3 linked regions of the Canis lupus familiaris genome follow. The protein of the gene in region 3 interacts with the protein of the main gene of each other region in a pairwise test. Links are inferred from orthologs where the notes say so. Each region holds a gene or a part of one and is shown on either strand. Other genes may lie near its edges.

Region 1 (5,700 bases), on a different chromosome or scaffold from region 3:
TTTTGATGGTGCTAAACTAATTTCAGTGAAATTAATTTTTATTTAACTTGTACCAAAATTTAGGTAATTTCAGAAAAACAGAATTAAGCTATCTGACAGGAAAAAAGAAAGAGACCCTCTGACAAATTTCTAAAATTCTCAAAGGTGAACTTACCTCAAAGCAGTCTTTCTTTTTGTGTGTCATGGCCCCACAATTTTCACATGCTCCTTTGCGGTACTTAGTAGTTATGGAATTCTATAAAAGGACATAAAGAAAAACGTTTTATTTCTGAATAAGTTAGAAAAAATTTGGCTCTTCTTACTATATTGTCCAGTGAAGTGATTTACTCATTAAGAGAAATACTACTTAGAGTCTCCATACTTTTATAAATGAGAAAGTTTAAGTACTTTAGCAATATAAAACTTATAAAAGAAAACACAGAAACAAAAGTAGTATGTATTGTGAATTTTAATCCCAGGTAAAAGATGTTTTATAATCTGATATAACTTTATTAAAGGCTTTTATATTAAGTTATTCAAATAAAATCTCCATTTTCACAAGGATATATATAAAAGTTGCCCAAATACCTCTTTTACACCCCTCTTGTACCATTCTCCAGATGAGCTGTATTGCTTTTGTTTCTCTGGTTGTGGTCTCTGGTGCTTTAAAGTAGGTCTTTTTGATGGATCAATATACCATGGCACTGAAGAAATATACTGAGGTATATGAGGGTTGATGTCTCTGTAATTTAAAAAATATATATATTTTAAGAATAAAGTTTGAAAATAGTTGATAATACAATTACAAAGGTAGCCTATACAGACTCTAAGAAGAGAGATAGTGCAGTGGAGGGGAGAGAGAAAATATGCCTGATCTCTCTATATAATATAGTAAAAACAACAAAATTAAAAATAAGTAATTTATTTTAGAATGAAAAAATTTCCAATTTAGCAACTAAGAATAGTGACAGAACTGAAGCGAGGAAAGATATAAGGAAGATAGAGATGAATGTTAGAAGAGTAGATAAATCTTATGAAAGAGCAAGAAGCTAGCCAATAATGCCTAGAGTTGATTACAATAACGATGTAGGTACATTATTTAGAGATGTAAAGGTATCAACCAGAAAAACTCAAAATAGAAAGATTTAAAAGTAGTCATTTTCCAGAGTGGAACAGGGAGTGGGAAGAGCTGAAAGAGATGACTGCTGTTCATTAGAAGTCCTTCAATACTTTTTTATTATTAAACCTTACATATATGAATTTGATAAAATAATAAAAACAAAAAGGATGTAAATGGCAAAGATAGTTTCCTGTCAAACTAAAAAATGAGAAATTGCTAAACTAAGTAGATATAAATTTGAACTTTGAATGAACAGATAATGCAAAAAATGAATGTACTTACTTTCCTTCTTCATCAACTTCTGCTGGAGCATTACCCAGTTTTCGCTGTTCTTCTAGCTCCTTCTTCTTTCTCCAGTCCTCTCTGGTCATCTTCTTTGGTTCCTCCAGACTCATTTCTTTGGACCCCGACAGGGGGGCTGCATTAACTGCATCTACAGCTGCAGCTGACATGGTTATCTGGATACCTCTATGAGAAGAAAGAAATATATATTAGTATAAAGTAGGCCTTCATGAGTTTATCAGGGAAACTATCAAAAGTACACAAATTGCATACCTCATAACACATACTACAGTCTCATTTATATATAATATTTTATATGCTCTTATAGCATCTGTGAGGGAAGGGTCTCTTTCTCTTCCACAAAAAATCTCTATATACTGTTCGCAGTTCCTCCCTCAAATCTAACTTACAAATGAAGAGAAACATACATACATGTACTTAAAGTTTCCTAAGACTCTTTATCTTATTAATATTCCTTAATTTCTCTATATATGACTCAAACTTTTCTAGCACATTAACCCTACATAAGTAAACAATGTCCTATTTTTCTCAAAGATGTAATTCCTTAAGAGTTATCTATATCCATAGACTCTATTTTCCCAACTACTTCGTTCCTCAGTCACTCCAATTTAGCTTCCACTCCTTCTCTCTCTGAAGAGGCCCCACAAAGTCATCAATGATCAATGTGCTAAATCCACTAAACATTTTTCAGTTTTCTTCCTTCTCTCTCTTTTTAAAATATTTATTTCTTTAAAATTTATTATATTTCTTTATTTGTGTGAGAGAGTGCATGTGTGTGTGGGGGGCACGGAACAGGGGTAGGGGCAGAGGGGGAGGGAGACAGGCAGACTCCCTGCTGACCTGGAAGCTGGACAGTCATTGGGGTTCCATCCCAGGACCCTAGATCCTAACATAAGCTGAAATCAAGAGTCAGAAGCTCAAATGACTGAGCCACCCAGGCGCCCCTGTTCCTTCCCTTCTTGAAACATTCTTACCTCTTGGCTTAAGTGACACTATAATCTGTTTTTTTCTTTAATCTCTCCTGCTGCTCTTGTCTTCTTTGCAAGTTCATCTATTTCGGCCCAGTTAGTTAATTTTGGATTCCACAAGGCTCAGTCTTGGAGTCTCTTTCATCACTCTGGACTTCATCAGTAGTCAGCGCATCTATTTCTAAGGCTTTAATATACCACTGTTGGCTCTCCAGCTTATTTTCTCCTTTTCAGACCTTTTATCTGAGTTTCACATACATATATTCCAATAGCTCGCTTCATAGCATCTACTTTTAGAGGGTCTTAGAAACACGTAAACTCATCAAATTTTAATTTAAACTCATGATCTTCTCCATGGAATGCCATCTTGATTACTGTTTCCTCTCTTAATGAAAAATACTATTCATACCTTTACATATATGTTCCAGCTAATCTCGATAACTATTTCATCATTAAGTATTTTTGTTTTTTTACCTTCTGAATAGCATTCATATTTACCTACTTCTCTCTATCCTCAATGCTACCACTTTAATGGAAGGTATTACTTTCCCTTTCTTATTGGTCTCCTGCCATTCTCTCCAATCAGTTCTCCACACCGCAGTGTTATTTTTTCAGAACACAAATTTAATCATATCATAACCTACTTACACAAGCTTAAAATCCTACAATGTGGCTCTGTCCAAGATAAATATAATGCCATTCTCATACATCACTTTAAGTGTTCCAGTAGTCATACTAAGATAGTAAAAATAAGCACGTAAAATGACTTTTAAAAATATTTTAATTTAATCCAACATATCCAACATCCTATTTTAACACTTAATCAACATAAGAGAAAATAAAGTCTTTAAAATCCGATCAGATTTTACACGTATTCAGAACAGCCATATTTCAAGTGCTCAAGAGCCACAAGTAGCTAACAGCTGGGAAATGAAACTCCGATGATATCTGATAATTCTTACTCTAAAAATCATTAAGACGTTCCTGGTCTGGCTCGGCACAAGCACACTGAGGCCTAGGACCGCGGCTTTCTTCTCGGTCCCGGATCCCCATTCCCCCCTCGACCTGGAATTCATCACTTTCGTAGGAATGTATCTAAGAAGTAGGAGGCCTTCGGCCTGTTTTCCAGAGTTTTTCAGCTTCACCTTCTCCCCATCCCCAAGTTCCCACATTTCCTTACCCAATCCGGTCACAGCAGAACCCAAAACCTCCCGACAGAAACAAACTCAATCCGTCAATGTTTACTTCCTGGCTTTCCGCCCTCTCCCGGCAGCCACTGCGGTAGTTTCCGGACGAGCGACACATGCGCACTAACGTCTTTCGGTAGGGGACCAGGTCAGGCTCCCACGCGATGTTATTATCGCGAGATCTCGCGCGCTTCTTTATTTACCTCGGGCTGGAGGAAGGGGTTAGTTTGAGCAGGTGCTTTCCTGCTCTCCGGGTTTGTGTTGTTGATTCTTTTAGAATCGCAGACTCTTAGGAGGCTTAAAAAAAAAAAAAAAGTACGGAGAATAGACAACAGCTTACGCCTCTCTGCAGAACTAAGAAATGAATGGGGAAGTTCGTGACATATTACAAAAGAAAGGCAGTTAAAATTAGTATTAATTAGTGGTCAGTGTGTGACACTTTGAGGGACGTGGTGAGCAAAAAGAGTATTTCCTTGCATTCACAACATACAAAGTGAAAAAGGCACTAAAATGATTTTCAAATAATGTACAGTTGTAAAAAGCCTCTGTGAAAGGAATACCAGATGCTCTGAAAACCTAAGGCACCATTTGGTGGTTGTGACATTCTGTACCGAAGTGATCTTGTGTTTTGTCATTAGAAAAAAAAATACTATGAAACAATTTCTATTTTGGGAAAACTGGTATCTATGACATTCCAACCCTCCTTTTAAAGTACACCTATGAAGTAAGATTAGTTACTGGAAAATAAGCAGTAGTTTGTTCTTTCTTATTTCTTTCTTTCTTTTTTTTTTTTTTTTTTTTTAAGATTTTATTGATTTACTTGAGAGAGTGTAGAACGAGAGAAAGAGCATGAGGGGACGGGGGTTCCATCTCAGGACTCCTGGATCATCACCTGAGCTGAAGGCAGACGCTTAACGGACTGAGCCACCCCTAAGCAGTAATTTTGGTAGTAGAATTTCTTCTGTTTTTTTCTTCTTTGTGCTGTTGTCTTTTATTTTTCAAGGTAACATGTATTAGATTTATTTGCTTGTTTTTAGACAGAGAGAGTGAGCAGGGGGAGAGGCAGGCGACTGGGAGAGAATTCTAAAGCAGATTTCTCACTTAGTGCACAGCTGAATTCTGGGCTAGATCCCAGGCCCCGGAGATAATGATCTGAGTTGAAAGTCAAGACTGGGTCGCTTAACCGACTGAGCCACCCAGGCGCCCCAGTATATATTGCTTTTAAAAGTAAAAGTGAGGGGTGCTTGGGTGGCTCAGTCAGTTAAGTGTCTACTTTCAGCTCAGCTCATGATTCTGGAGTTCATGGATTGAGGCCCATGTCAGGCTCCCTGCTCTGTGGAGAGTCTGCTTCTCCCCCTCCTACCTCTTCCTCACTGCTCCATTTCTGCTCTTTGCTCACTCTCTATCTCTGAAATAAAGTCTTTAAAAAAAGTAAAAGTGAAAATAGCTCACACCCATGCTTCATAAAACCCCCTCATAATCCATTTTTTTCTTATTAAAAATTTGCAGTGCCAAGAGTTTAGGAATTTAAACATTAATTTTGATTTTACAGGGCAACAGGTGAAGTCATAGAAAGGGTCAGAGAATAGCCTGAAAGTGAGTAGTCTCTGGATCACCTACACTTTGTTTTTACTTCTTTAAATAATTCCTGAAATTGGCTTGGAATTGTTGAGGCCTGTTTTAAAATCACCAGGCACAAGCCAGAGAACACATCTCCCAGACGAATCATATAATGTACTAGAAGAGAAGGGAGAAGGCTTTGTAAGGTTTGGATTCCCCCTGGAGGACTTGGAGAAAAGTATAGGGAAGCACGTGTTCAGTTCTCTAGATGGGTTGCTGTTTGTAAATCATGATTAGAATAAACGGGGATTGATTAGGATCTAGGTACTATTATAAGGTGAGGGTGGTTACTAATTGGGTAATCTAGTAATAATAGGGAATAGTAAAGTGGGTTTGGGGCATCATTGGTGAGAAAACAAGAATCACTCAAAGAGGGGGTAGTTGGGGCACCTGGGTGGCTCAGTGGCTCAGGTCATGATCCCAGAGACATAGGCAGAGGGAGAAGCAGGCTTCTCTCGGGGGAAGTCTGATGCGGGGCTTGATCCTCTGCCTATGTCTCTGCCTCTCTTTCTGTGTCTCTCAT
Region 2 (5,844 bases), on a different chromosome or scaffold from region 3:
GAACTCATTGACCTTGAGATCAAGACCAACATTGGGCTTCATGCTGGGCGTGGAGAATACTTAAAACAAAAAACCAACTCCCCCAAACTAAAACCAAAACCCAAAACTGTAGCACCTTTATCATACTTAAGGATATATGAAAGCTACTTTTCAAATTCTTTAATAGAAACCTAAAAAAAAACTTTCACAAAAGAGATAACAAAGCATTACATAATACCATAATATCACATTAGTACTCCAATTCAACATTTAACTTTCTTCTCTCATCTTCATTTTATGAAAGATTAAACCAGTTTAGAATACTTGTCTTAATAAATTCTAATGAAGGTTCTAAGGGAAAATATTTTAAGCTTAAGCATAACTTATAACTAAACACTTCAAAGAAAACAGTATGTTTTAAATCATTAAAGTGTAAATATTTGAGTAGAAAGAAACAGGTTTATTGGTTTATTTTTTTTAAGTTGTGCTTTAAATATTTTTCAAGAGTGTAGCTACTTGTGTGGAAAATTCCTTTAGGTATACACTAACAAAGTAAACACAAAGTACAAAACAAATTCATACCCTCAACATTTGATGTACTAGTGCAAAAAATGTTTATTACCACAATATTAAGAAATATCAACACGAGTTGGAATAACTAATTCATAAGGAAGAGTTTGAACTGGACCAAATCCTGGGTTTTCTTTCGTCACTCCAAGTTTCTTTTCTATTTTAAACTAGTGGCAACAGAAATTTCTTTGTTCGAAAGTCAGGAATGCTTGAAGTCTTAAGTGATAGAACAGGTAGCTCGACTTCTACTTCATGTCTCTCCTCAGGGGGAGAAAAACACTGTGGATAAAGTAATTTTGTTTTTATTTCTGGAAAAATCATTTTTTCCATCAATCTTCATAATTCTCTAAAATAAACTGTTAAAAAGTTATAGGCCAGTCAACCACTTCACCCTGATTTGTGGAAATACTATACATTAATTTCAAGAACACATGGCTAACTTGAGTTTTCTTACTACTCTCGGTTTAAAAGTTGCTCCTAACTCTTGAACAAAAGTTGAGAATTTTACAAGTGCATATATTTCTGCATCTCATTTGCAATATTTTTGAACAAAAGAATAGTAAAAGTAGTCTAGTCTCAAGAGTCACACTGCATGTATCAAATTTATTTTTAAGGTACTGTGCAATTTTTACTGTGGAAAGCTTTTGTGATGCATCAAATGCTTAAGAATCACACCTACAAATAAAATGGAAATAAACAGTTAAGAATTTATCATTTCATTAAGATGGAGAAAGTGACAAGTATCCCTCTCTTCTTTGCTAATATGGAGAGGACTGTCCTCCCCAAATTATGTGGGACTAAGTAACCACAATTTTGGGAAGGCATACAGTAAGAGGCAGAAGTTGTAAATTAAGATGTGATTCACATACTAAACCACCTTAATGAAGATTTTAAAATTCAAGAGATAGGGAACTCCAATAATTAAAGCAGGGAGCAATAAGAAACACTGAATGGCAAGGGGGTCCTAAACCCTATAAATCAAATAAAGACAAATGAAATAAAGACCAGAAACCATTTTCTTCCCAGCACACAGAGTTCCCCAGAGTCACAAACTTGATGAACAGGAGGCACGCTCTCTGCTGACGCAGGCGCACACAATGGAGACAGAAGCATGGAGACCCTCAGGGACAAACTTTCCATCTGTACCGTTCTACTCCCCGCAGAATGGAAAGAAGAGCACGGTGAGAAGTATTTCGCACTTCTTCCACATCAGACAGAGCAAAATCGGAGTTAGTACTGCAAACTACTAATCTCTTGCTACACAATCAAAGGCAGACTGAATGAATGGGTTGTGGGGCTGGGTGGATGGGGGAATGAGTGAGGGAGGGAAGGGGTTGGTCTGAGAAAAAAGTTTGAGGCATTTTGTAAAGGCTGAATGGATTAATCTTTTAAAAAGCCCGAATATTTCTCATTTCCCTTTTTCTTTCTTTCTCCTTTTTATTAAATACAAACCGACTTCCTGGGACTCAACACAGACTTGCCCTATATTCAGCTAAAAGGCCTGGTGCTTAGGCCTGGTGCTTAGTACACACAGGAGTCCTAGGATTGATATATGTCCCACACAAATGGTCCTTTTGTGGGAAAGTATTTTTAAAATTACTTTTTGTGACCATGCATAAAACATGACCAGTCGGTAAAAAAAAAAAAAAAAAGGATGAATTCCATGCATCAATTAGTATATTGAGGCCCCAATCCACAGCGTTTTACTAGAAACATAAGCTATTTACAACTCTAAACGTTTTTTTCTGAACTTGAAAAAAATCTGCTTTACATTTTTAGAAGCTAATGAGGGACTGAGTGAGTCTTTAGTGTTTCTAGTCTTTCATCTGCTCATAAATGGGTTGTTTAGGCTATCTAGGAAAGGAAAAAAGTGAACGCTTAAATGTTAGTAGACCTGGATAACATTTAGTAGATAGCTTGAAATGCACCACTTTAAATACGTAACCGCGTAAAAAGTGTAGGAACATCGCTTCTTTCTTCCTGAATAAAATGAAAATGTAATGGGGGGCGGGGGCTGGGTAAATCTCAAGATAGAAGATGGGTCTTAAGCAGTAGTCCCTTGTCCAGGACAAAAAGCTTCCTTTAACCACATGAACAGTTGTCTTATGGGAAAGGCAGGGGGAGGGGGCTGGGGAGTCATCACCTCAGCCATTCAGACGAAGGACGCAGCATTTCTCAAGCCACACTATGGGATGGGCCAGGTGGGGGAGCGAGATAGAACTTCGCCCTTAAGAAGCAACACCGAAGAGAAGCCACCTCGCTCTTCGCACTACGCACACAGGAAGAGCCCAATTCAACACCGCCGCCACCGACACCCCCTTGTCTTGCTCCACCCCAACTTGTGTGTGTGCGGGGGGTGGCGCACGACTTGCTTTTTACCCCACAAATTCGAGACACCTCCATCTCTCTCAAGTTAAGACCTTCCACCTCCAGTCCCCAGGCGGACCACGCTCCGCAGGCGCAGGTGTCTGGATCTGGCCTATTTTTATGCTCCCCCGCCGCCCGCGCCCCCCCCCCCCGCACCTCGGCGCGCGCCGGGTCCCTCCCCGCCCCTCCCCGCGCAATGCACCAGCTGGTCTAAACGCCGCCGGAAAACGCTTCGAGCCCGACTCCCGGGTCACCTGGCCCCAGCGCCCGGCCCTGCCTTCAAGGGAGCCCCGGGGCCGCCTCTGGTCACCGGGGACCGCGCACCGGGCTCTGGGGCAGTCACGTGGTCGGCGGAGGCGGCCTGGGCTTCCTCACCTGCATCCCGGGAACTTGGACAGCCACCGGTGAGTGGGCCATGAAGGCGAAGACTGCTCTGCACTGCTCCTGTGGCGGTGGCGCCTTGGGCTCGGACTGGCTCCTCCTCCGGGGGTAGCTCGGCGGCCCTCCCAGGCTTTTCGACCGGGGCCTGGAAGGACACACAGAAGTGGGGTGACTGAGCTGGTGGCGCGTCGCCCCGGGCTGGGGGTTCTGGGCGGTTGGCGGCGCAGCTGCCTGGGGCTCAGTCTACCTTTCTGGCGCCCGCCCGCCGCTGTTGCCGCCGCCTCCGCCGCCGCTCCTCCTCCCGAACGCTGGGCGCACCGTGTGGCGGTAGCCGGGACCTGGGCTCGAGTGATGCCGCTCCTCGGCGCCTCGCCGCTTTAGGAAGAGGAGGTGGAGGCGCCCCAGCAACCCGCCCGCCCGCTGGGCCCGGGAGGCGGTTGGGGGCGGTTCCGCCGTTGGCCCTGCCTCCGCCCTGCCGCCGGGCGGTGTCAGGAGCGCCGGAGCCCCTCGCGGCGCTGGGCTGCGTGCGGCTGGGTCGGCGAGGGGGCGGACTCCCTCCGCACGCGGAGAGGAGAAGCCGCGGGCTGGGGGGCCCGGCACTGGGCCCGGCCAGGGGAGGGAATGGAGGCGTCTCGGTGACCCTGGGGGTTAGAGTGCGTCCCCGACGCGGCCACGTCGCCGACAGGCGGACAGACGTTCGAAGCTGGGGCACACGCAGCTTCAGAGACCACTTGAGTTGAAACTTGGGGAGTGTTGGAAATCCCTATCGGCTCCGCGATCTAGTCAAGGGTGCGGCCACAGAGAGCCGCCGAGTTGGTGGACCCTCTATTCATTCCCGGGGTCTGGGTCTCCAGGCTGGGGCCGAGCCTCTGGGCAGACGCGTAGCCGCTCGCCTGCTTTCTGGATTCACCGTCCCCCAGACGTACTTCAGGTGACTTGAACCTGAGGCTACCCCTACCTCTTGGGTTGTCGGTTGGAGGGCTGCCAAACTGGGGCTTCTCGTCGCAAGTTTGCACGTGGAAGGGGGGGGGGAGAAATTGGAAAACAGATATTACATCAGCAGAAAAATTAATGAGGATGATAGAGGCATAAAAAATGAGACCAGATCTTTAGTAGTACGCCTTAATGAACTTGGTATACGGCATACGCAATAGTGGTTTTAGCAATTCCCTACCTTTGTTCCCTCTTAAGTTCTGCTCCAACAGGGAGGCAGTTCCTTTTGAGAATACCCTAAAGATAACAAGTCACAATGATAATAGTAACAATTACAGAAATCTCATCATGAAGGCACCTGGGGGGACCAACAGGGGTTAAGTACATTTAAAAATGTCATATCCAAGTACCAGTTTAAGATGAGGATGAAGTTCCTTACATTGCAAATTGTTATAGGTCTGGACCTAACACAAGGTTGGGACTCTAGTAGACACTCATTAAAGTTTCTTCTGTTTCTTTTGTTGCCTTTGAATCTTTCTCGAAAGACAGCATTTTAGTGTTATAAACATAATTATTCTTTTTTTAAAAATTTTATTTATTTATGATAGTCACAGAGAGAGAGAGAGAAAGAGGCAGAGACACAGACAGAGGGAAAAGCAGGCTCCATGCACCGGGAGCCCGATGTGGGATTCGATCCCGGGTCTCCAGGATCGCGCCCTGGGCCAAAGGCAGGCGCCAAACCGCTGCGCTACCCAGGGATCCCTAAACATAATTATTCTTAATGGGTGCCATTTTCTTTGTGCCAGGGACGGCAAAGTGCTAGATATGCGTTACATGATTGACTCTTTACAAAGGCCCTCTGAAGTCGCCCATATTACCCCTCCATCTTACAAGTGATGAAAAAGGCTCTATGGGGTTAAACAATTTGACCCAAATATCACACAATTAAGAAGTGGTAGAGCTGGGAATCCAAACTCAAGTCCCTCTAACTCCTAAGATCTACTCTCTTAGCAACTGTCAATTATACAATATAGTATTGTTAAATATTGTCACTATGTTATACATTACATCCCCAGAACTTACACATCTTATAACTGAAAGTTTATGATCTTTGACCACCTTCACCTATGTCCCGCCTCACTTGCCCTGGCAACCACCAGTTCTACTCTCTGTTTCTATAAGTTTGGTATTTTTTAGATCATACAGTATTTAGTCTCTCTCTGACTGCTTTCCCTTAAAATAATGCCCTCAACATCCATCCACATGGTCACAAATGGCAGGATTTCCTTTTTCATGGTTGAATAATATTCCATCACATTTCATTATCCATTCAGATAACAAAGGATATAATTGCATCTCCTTACTCCTACTTCCCATATCCAGGCCCTCACAACTTCTAACCTGATGATAGGTCCCAATCCAATCTCAATTTCCCACCAGCGCAGCTGACACTTAATAATACCAGCCTGGCCAGAAACCTGCAGTGCCACCTAAACTTTAATGCCCTTAGAAGTTCCCTAGGAATCTTGGGACACCTAGCTGGTTCAGTTGGTTAAGCATCTGCCTTCGGCTCACGTCAGAATCTCAGGGTCCTGAGATCCAGCCCCTGCATCC
Region 3 (5,888 bases):
TAATTCCTCTGAAAAAATAACCTCAGTCCTTGTAACTATAACATACACTCCCTTTGTCTTAACCCTACACTACCTACTCTCCAACCAAAATGAACTAATCCAATTCAAAAAAAGGACAAACTGCTATGCAGTCTATTCATCTTTTGGGGGACAGGTGCCCAAAGGGCAAGTGTGAAGGTTTGCTTTTATTTAATCCAAATCTGACGCGCCACTGGGTATTCATACCCAAGGCTAGAAAAAGCCAAATCCCACACACCTGCTCTGGAAGCTTTCCCAAGTTACCTTTAAACTTCAAGATGTGTCTCACATCTTCTTCAAAATGATAAAAGATGTGGGGGAAGGAAAAAAACCCAATCAACCAAGCAGGTGAAAAAAAAAGCAGACATGAACAGGCTGAGGGTTAATGACAGCAACATAAAATAAGCCAGAGGCAAAGTATTCCCCCAAACCAGAGAAGCCTTGGGGCATGCACAGCTGGGAGAGAGCAAGCCAGAGAGGGGGTTCGGCACTGCCTCACCTTCCACTTGTCCAATGGGGGGAGCGCTACCCCATTGGAGCGGTTAAGGTCGGACACCAGCACCTTCAGAATATCCTGAATCTACAGGAGGCGAGAAGGGAGAAACAAGGGCAAGGGGAGAGAGAAGAGTGGCTTAGAGAGAGGTGAGAGAGTCAGGGAAGGAAGAAGTGGGTTCAGGAAGATGAAATGCTGGAGAAGAGAGAGGGCAACAAATCCATGGCCTGTGCTGCCTTCCCAAACAGCCACCTGCTGCCGTGCTGGAGGCAGAAATCAATGTACCCAGATGGAAAAGTCCCCTGAACGAGACCGAGAACGCGATCACCAGCCCAATGCAGGTGTTATTTTAATACATTCATCAGACCCTCTCCTCAGACCCGGGTGCTGGGGACAAATCTGACAGGCTTGCAACTCCATTTTAAAAACCAGACTTCCATGGAGGGTTCGCTTGAACAAAGGGAGCTCCAGCTAGAAGTCTGAAAGACACTGATCTGCTCCAACAATATCATCTTACAGAAGAGGAAACTGGGCCCAGGGGAGGAAGTGATTTTCCTGAGGTCGCCCAGCAAACTGGTGGCAAAGATGGACTCAAAATTCACTGTCACCTAACCCAAATGCTTGGTCTCCTTGCTACACCCTGGGTCTCTTTTGGTGCTTCCTATAGGGACAGTGTGATGGCAGATGGCTATTCTCACTGCCTGGCTTCCCCCCTGAAGCCAGGGATGAGGAAAGTCACCAGGTCAGTATGTCAAATAGGACTACCCTTGACTGAATGCTTATCCCACACCAGGCCCTAAGGGATTAATATAAAAACAACATCAATGGGGCATCTGGACAGCTTAGTTGGTTAAGTGTCCGACTCCTGAGTTCTTCCGGCTCAGGTCATGATCTCAGAGTCATGGGATCCAGCCAGACATCAGGCTCCGTGCTCAGCAGGGAGTCTGCTTGAGGATTCTCTCTCCCTCTTCCTTTGCCCCTCCCCCTGCTCTCTCTCAAATAAATAAACCCTTAAAAGAAACAAAAAAAATCAACCATCTCATTCCAGTGTCACCAGTGTTAAGACATTATTACCCCAACTTTATTGATGGGGCATATTCCCAGCAGAGGGAGAGGTAGGATTCAAATCCGTACCTGACATCTCCTCCACAGTATCAACCACCACCCTCTACTGCCCCTCAAACACCCCTGGCCCCAGGAACCTGGCCAGCCAGTACTCACATCCTCAGGAGAGTGACAATCATTGGAAGTGGTAGTCTCAGGGCTACTGCCATTTTTAATCTTCCTTTTCTTCTTTGCTCCTACACCAGGGCTGTTCTTCTGCTGATACTCCCTCAACTACAGAAAGGAAAATCAGTGGGGCTCATGAGAACTATAAACCCCTGTATTCATGTCCAACTTTGTAGTTTACAATATACTCCCATACTCGCCATCTGACTTAATGCCACCAACAGCCCTACAAGGTGTTGTAATTCTCAGTGACTGCAGAAATAGACTGATAACATGACTAAGAAAAGAAAAGGCAATAATGGAATTTAAACTTAGGCAATAATGGAATTTAAACTTAGTCTTCTGACTCCGAGTTCTGGGGTTATGCCATGAAATCAGCAGGTGCCAAAAGGCAAAACCAGAGGTGGAGGTGGAAAAGGTGGGAAAAATAACATCTGAGTAATCTGACTTTAGAGTCCTTTCCTACAAATCTGTTAAAGCTGCACATTGGTATTTATCAAACTTTTATATCAACGTATCCTGATGGCAGAAGGCAGTAAAGGCACACACCTAGTGAATGTGGAAACCTAACAGAAAGAGGACAATCCAAGCACCATTTCAGAGAGAAGTCTATCATAATCTTACAAATCTACACAAATGTCATCCCTAGTACATTACTATAAAAGGATTTTTCTTTCTCAAAAGAATCAAGCACAATTGATGCTTCAGTTCTATATTATCCTGTGGCCCTCAGAACACTCCATGTTGAGATGATGATTTGGGGAAGATTCCCACCTATGAAATTCAGGTTCCAGAGATCAGTTCCACAGAGGATAAGCAGATCTCACTCCAAAGAGCACTGATTGATGGGGGGGAGGCGGGGGGGACTCTGGTCCAGAATCATAAGGAATTAAAATGTGAGGTAGAGAATTCAGATTTAATATGTGAAAGTCTTTCTGGACAGTAGAAACCTAAAAGGAAACCATACCAAAGAAAACACACTCTCCCCATTGTCACCAAGGTGTTATCAATGTTCCATGATCACTGGTGTAGTCAATGTTTAAGGATGGGGTACAGTCTAGAGTAAGGGCTCCTGAAACCTCTCCCACCTAGGTCCCATAGTCCCCAGTCCCCTTCAAGCTGGAAATTTGCGCCGCGACCGGAGAAACCGGAAAGGGTATGAAAACACTGGGAGACTGGGTAGTAAGACCAAACACCGGGGCTCCTGGCGCTAATGACAGTTCCGAGGGGGATTGTGACGTAACTACATTCCCCTCCTCCCTACCAACGCCCGAGTCGCCGCTCCGCGGTGGGGGAGGGGAAAGCAGGGCTGGGACCGAGGTCCCTGGACACCGGGACCGGCCTGGAGAGCCCAGGTCCTCCGCTTCTGGGTGGCAGAAGGCTAGGGCCAAACCTGGAGCAGGGAGCCCGGGGAGTCACCAGCCCAAAGTCACCGGGGGCGGCGGGCGAGGGCGGGGGCTGGGCAGCCGGGGGGCGGGACTGGCTGAGACGACTTGGGGTGGGGGGCGCCAAGGGGCGTCACGGGGCTAGCCCCGTGTGCCTCAGGGGCAGCAAAGATTCTGGCCACGGCCCGGCCGTCCGAGGGGCCTTTGGCTGGGTCAGGGAGCCGCGACCCGGCACGTTTTACCTTTTTCTTGGCCGCAGCCAATTTGCTCTGTCGGGTTTCTTCCGACATCCCGGGACGGGGAGGGGTAAGGGGGGTGGCCACATCACCGCGATCCCGGCAACCACCGCGGCATCACTTCCGGCAGTCACCGCGCCGGTGTGCGACTGAGCCAGAAAGGGAGGGACCCTAGAGTTTCTAGGTAGCAGCTGGTGGGCGTGGCCTCAATGCTCCAATTCTATTGGCTGGTGAGAAAGATGAACGGGGGAATGGGCGTGGTCAGGTTGCCGCGAGCGGGTGGAGTGACAATGAAAGCTGCGCGCGCAGCCTCTGGCCCCGCCCACTTCGGGGCGGGGGCGGGACCTGGCTTTGCAGGTTGCGCGCGCATTTAGCCACCCAGCCGTCGGCGTCTCCGTCCTAAGATTCCGAGTACCTGGTGGGCCAGAGGGGCCGCTCTCCCGCCCCGCCCTGGACCCTTCTGCACTGCATACTCCCCCGAGACGGGGGCCCCGGACCCCAGGGCTCCGGAGGTGGGCGAGGAGCGGATAGCAGGGCGAAAGCGCATCCCTTCACAGTCCCTTTCCTGACTCCCCATTGCCGGGCCTCAGACTCTGGTCCCAGAGATCACTTCCAGAGACCCCCATCTAGCCCCCCACACTCCCTGCCCTCATCTCGGACCGTATCTGCCCCTCCCCAACTCCTTACCTCCCACACCCCCACGTAACCCTCTCCTCTCAGAGCGGACTGACTCTAGGTTCAATCAGCCTTTTGTCTTCGGATTCCTCTCCAGGACTCAACCAGGACTTTCCCAAAGTTGCCGCGGGGCCTTCCAATCCCCTGTGAGTATGCCTGTGACCCCCACCCCTTTCTCTCCCTCCGCAGTGTGAAGTCAGTGCTGCTCCCAGCCCTCCTCTCCATCCCCAGCCCCCTTCAAGTCTTCCCCCAGCACATCTTGTTCTGCTGAGGAACTCCGGGTCATTTCTCAGTCCTTCTGCCTTCTTTTCCTCCTGCCCACCAAGATTCAAAGGAGAAGCAGTGTCCTGGCCTTTGCCTGTGGTACCCCAGGCTCCCCCAGTAGGCTCTGTCTCTCCTCCTTGCCGGGAGCACCCTGATCTCCTCCCTCACCCACCACCCCACACAAAAACCACTCTCATTCCCCCAGACGCGCGTGCGCTCTCGTGCCTTTGCCATTTGAATATACTGTGCGCTTCTGGAATACTTCCCTTGCAGCTTTTTAGCAAGGTGATGCCTGCTCATCCTTCCGGGTTGAGAATCCCCGAGAGGAGCCTCACTCACCCCCACTTCTGACTCGGTCCAGTTGCTCAATTAGACACTCCCTTAGCACACTGTACTTCACCTAAAAAGCACTTTTCAGACTTGTTGTTAGTTGATTAATTATTTGTCATTCATTCATTCACTGGACACCTTTTTATTGAGTGCCTCCCGTGTGCCAGGCACTGTTGGGGCACAGTGAACAAAACACAGTCCCTGCCCTCATGGAGTTCATACTCCAGTGGCATGAGGCCAACAACATATTATCAATGAAATGTATATGTCAGGTGGTGATAGATGTTTTAAAATATCAGGACAAAAGAATAGTAAGCCAGTGAGGAGTGACCATTTTAGACGGAGTGGTCAGCGAGGGCCTTCCTGATGAAGTGTGAGTAGAATTTTAAATGAAGATATCTGGAGGAAAACCATAATTACTGGGTGTTTTATATGCATTCCCAGAAGGCAGGGGCCAGGCTTGATGTCTTGTCCATCGTTGAATTCCTGGAGCCTTTGCCAGTGTCTAGCAGATAGGGCTTATTCACTGTCAACTCACTGATTAACAAACCCTGCCCTAAGAATAGGAACCATATCTTCCTTGGCCTCTTCTTCAGATCCAACACATATTTCCTAAAGATTAGCCAGTGTACCAAGCCCTGGCCCTTGTAGCTTCTAGAGACAAAGAGGGCAGATGAACTGCAGCCCTAGAGAATGGTTTTGTTATCCAATAAAATCATAAGCCCAGCGACATCATAGACTTGAGAAGAGAATCCGAGAAGTAGACATGACCCTAGTAGATTATCTAGGGTCAGATTAGGGGCCAGAGTGAGCCCTTTAGTTAGGATTGGGCTTGGGCAGGAGTGAAAGAAAGCCCCCAATAATGGTGACCTAAATAGTCTTCCGGGACCCAGGCCTCTATCTTGGTTCACCACACTTTCAGCTTCGATTCTACCTTGTCACCCAAGATACTGTTCAGCTCTATCATTACATCCACATTCTAGCCAGCAGGAAGGAGGAAGGAAGGCCAGAGAAAAGCATGCCCTCTCCCTGGAAGAATGACTCCCAGATGTTACACACATGATTTCAGATTAACTTCCCCTTGCCAGAACTTAGAGGGCTACATCTAATTCCAAGGGAAGCTGGGAAATGTAATCTCATTAGTGGGTGGGGGCTGTCTGTCACCAAGCAGAAGCAGGTTGAGTGGCTGTTGAGGGCAAACTTGTAGGTTCTGAATTGTGGATAATGGGTCCGTCTGGCTAATGACTTTGTGTGCCA

What was found. The genes of interacting proteins can lie anywhere in the genome.
Region 1: the proteins of GOLGA2 (region 3) and SLU7 interact in binary tests that used the Homo sapiens proteins (3 or more experiments, as listed by UniProt). The two-hybrid records come from large-scale screens. The link is inferred for Canis lupus familiaris from reciprocal best matches to the Homo sapiens genes GOLGA2 and SLU7.
Region 2: the proteins of GOLGA2 (region 3) and STK26 interact in binary tests that used the Homo sapiens proteins (3 or more experiments, as listed by UniProt). The link is inferred for Canis lupus familiaris from reciprocal best matches to the Homo sapiens genes GOLGA2 and STK26.

Annotation. Positions count from the first base shown.
Region 1 is NC_049225.1:51,200,037-51,205,736, reverse strand, and holds the start of SLU7 (pre-mRNA-splicing factor SLU7), read right to left. Parts: upstream 3,709-5,700; 5' UTR 3,676-3,708; coding exon 3,551-3,675; intron 1,568-3,550; coding exon 1,382-1,567; intron 722-1,381; coding exon 568-721; intron 236-567; coding exon 155-235; intron 1-154. UniProt on the Homo sapiens protein: Required for pre-mRNA splicing as component of the spliceosome. Participates in the second catalytic step of pre-mRNA splicing, when the free hydroxyl group of exon I attacks the 3'-splice site to generate spliced mRNA and the excised lariat intron.
Region 2 is NC_049260.1:103,878,539-103,884,382, reverse strand, and holds the start of STK26 (serine/threonine-protein kinase 26), read right to left. Parts: upstream 3,709-5,844; 5' UTR 3,545-3,708; intron 3,443-3,544; 5' UTR 3,334-3,442; coding exon 3,292-3,333; exon of another isoform or gene 3,127-3,291; intron 1-3,126. UniProt on the Homo sapiens protein: Serine/threonine-protein kinase that acts as a mediator of cell growth. Modulates apoptosis. In association with STK24 negatively regulates Golgi reorientation in polarized cell migration upon RHO activation.
Region 3 is NC_049230.1:55,320,532-55,326,419, reverse strand, and holds the start of GOLGA2 (golgin subfamily A member 2), read right to left. Parts: upstream 3,528-5,888; 5' UTR 3,417-3,527; coding exon 3,369-3,416; intron 1,850-3,368; coding exon 1,733-1,849; intron 599-1,732; coding exon 518-598; intron 1-517. Other genes in the region: DNA repair protein SWI5 homolog, read left to right, coding at 3,572-3,592, 3,660-3,874, 4,135-4,183. UniProt on the Homo sapiens protein: Peripheral membrane component of the cis-Golgi stack that acts as a membrane skeleton that maintains the structure of the Golgi apparatus, and as a vesicle thether that facilitates vesicle fusion to the Golgi membrane.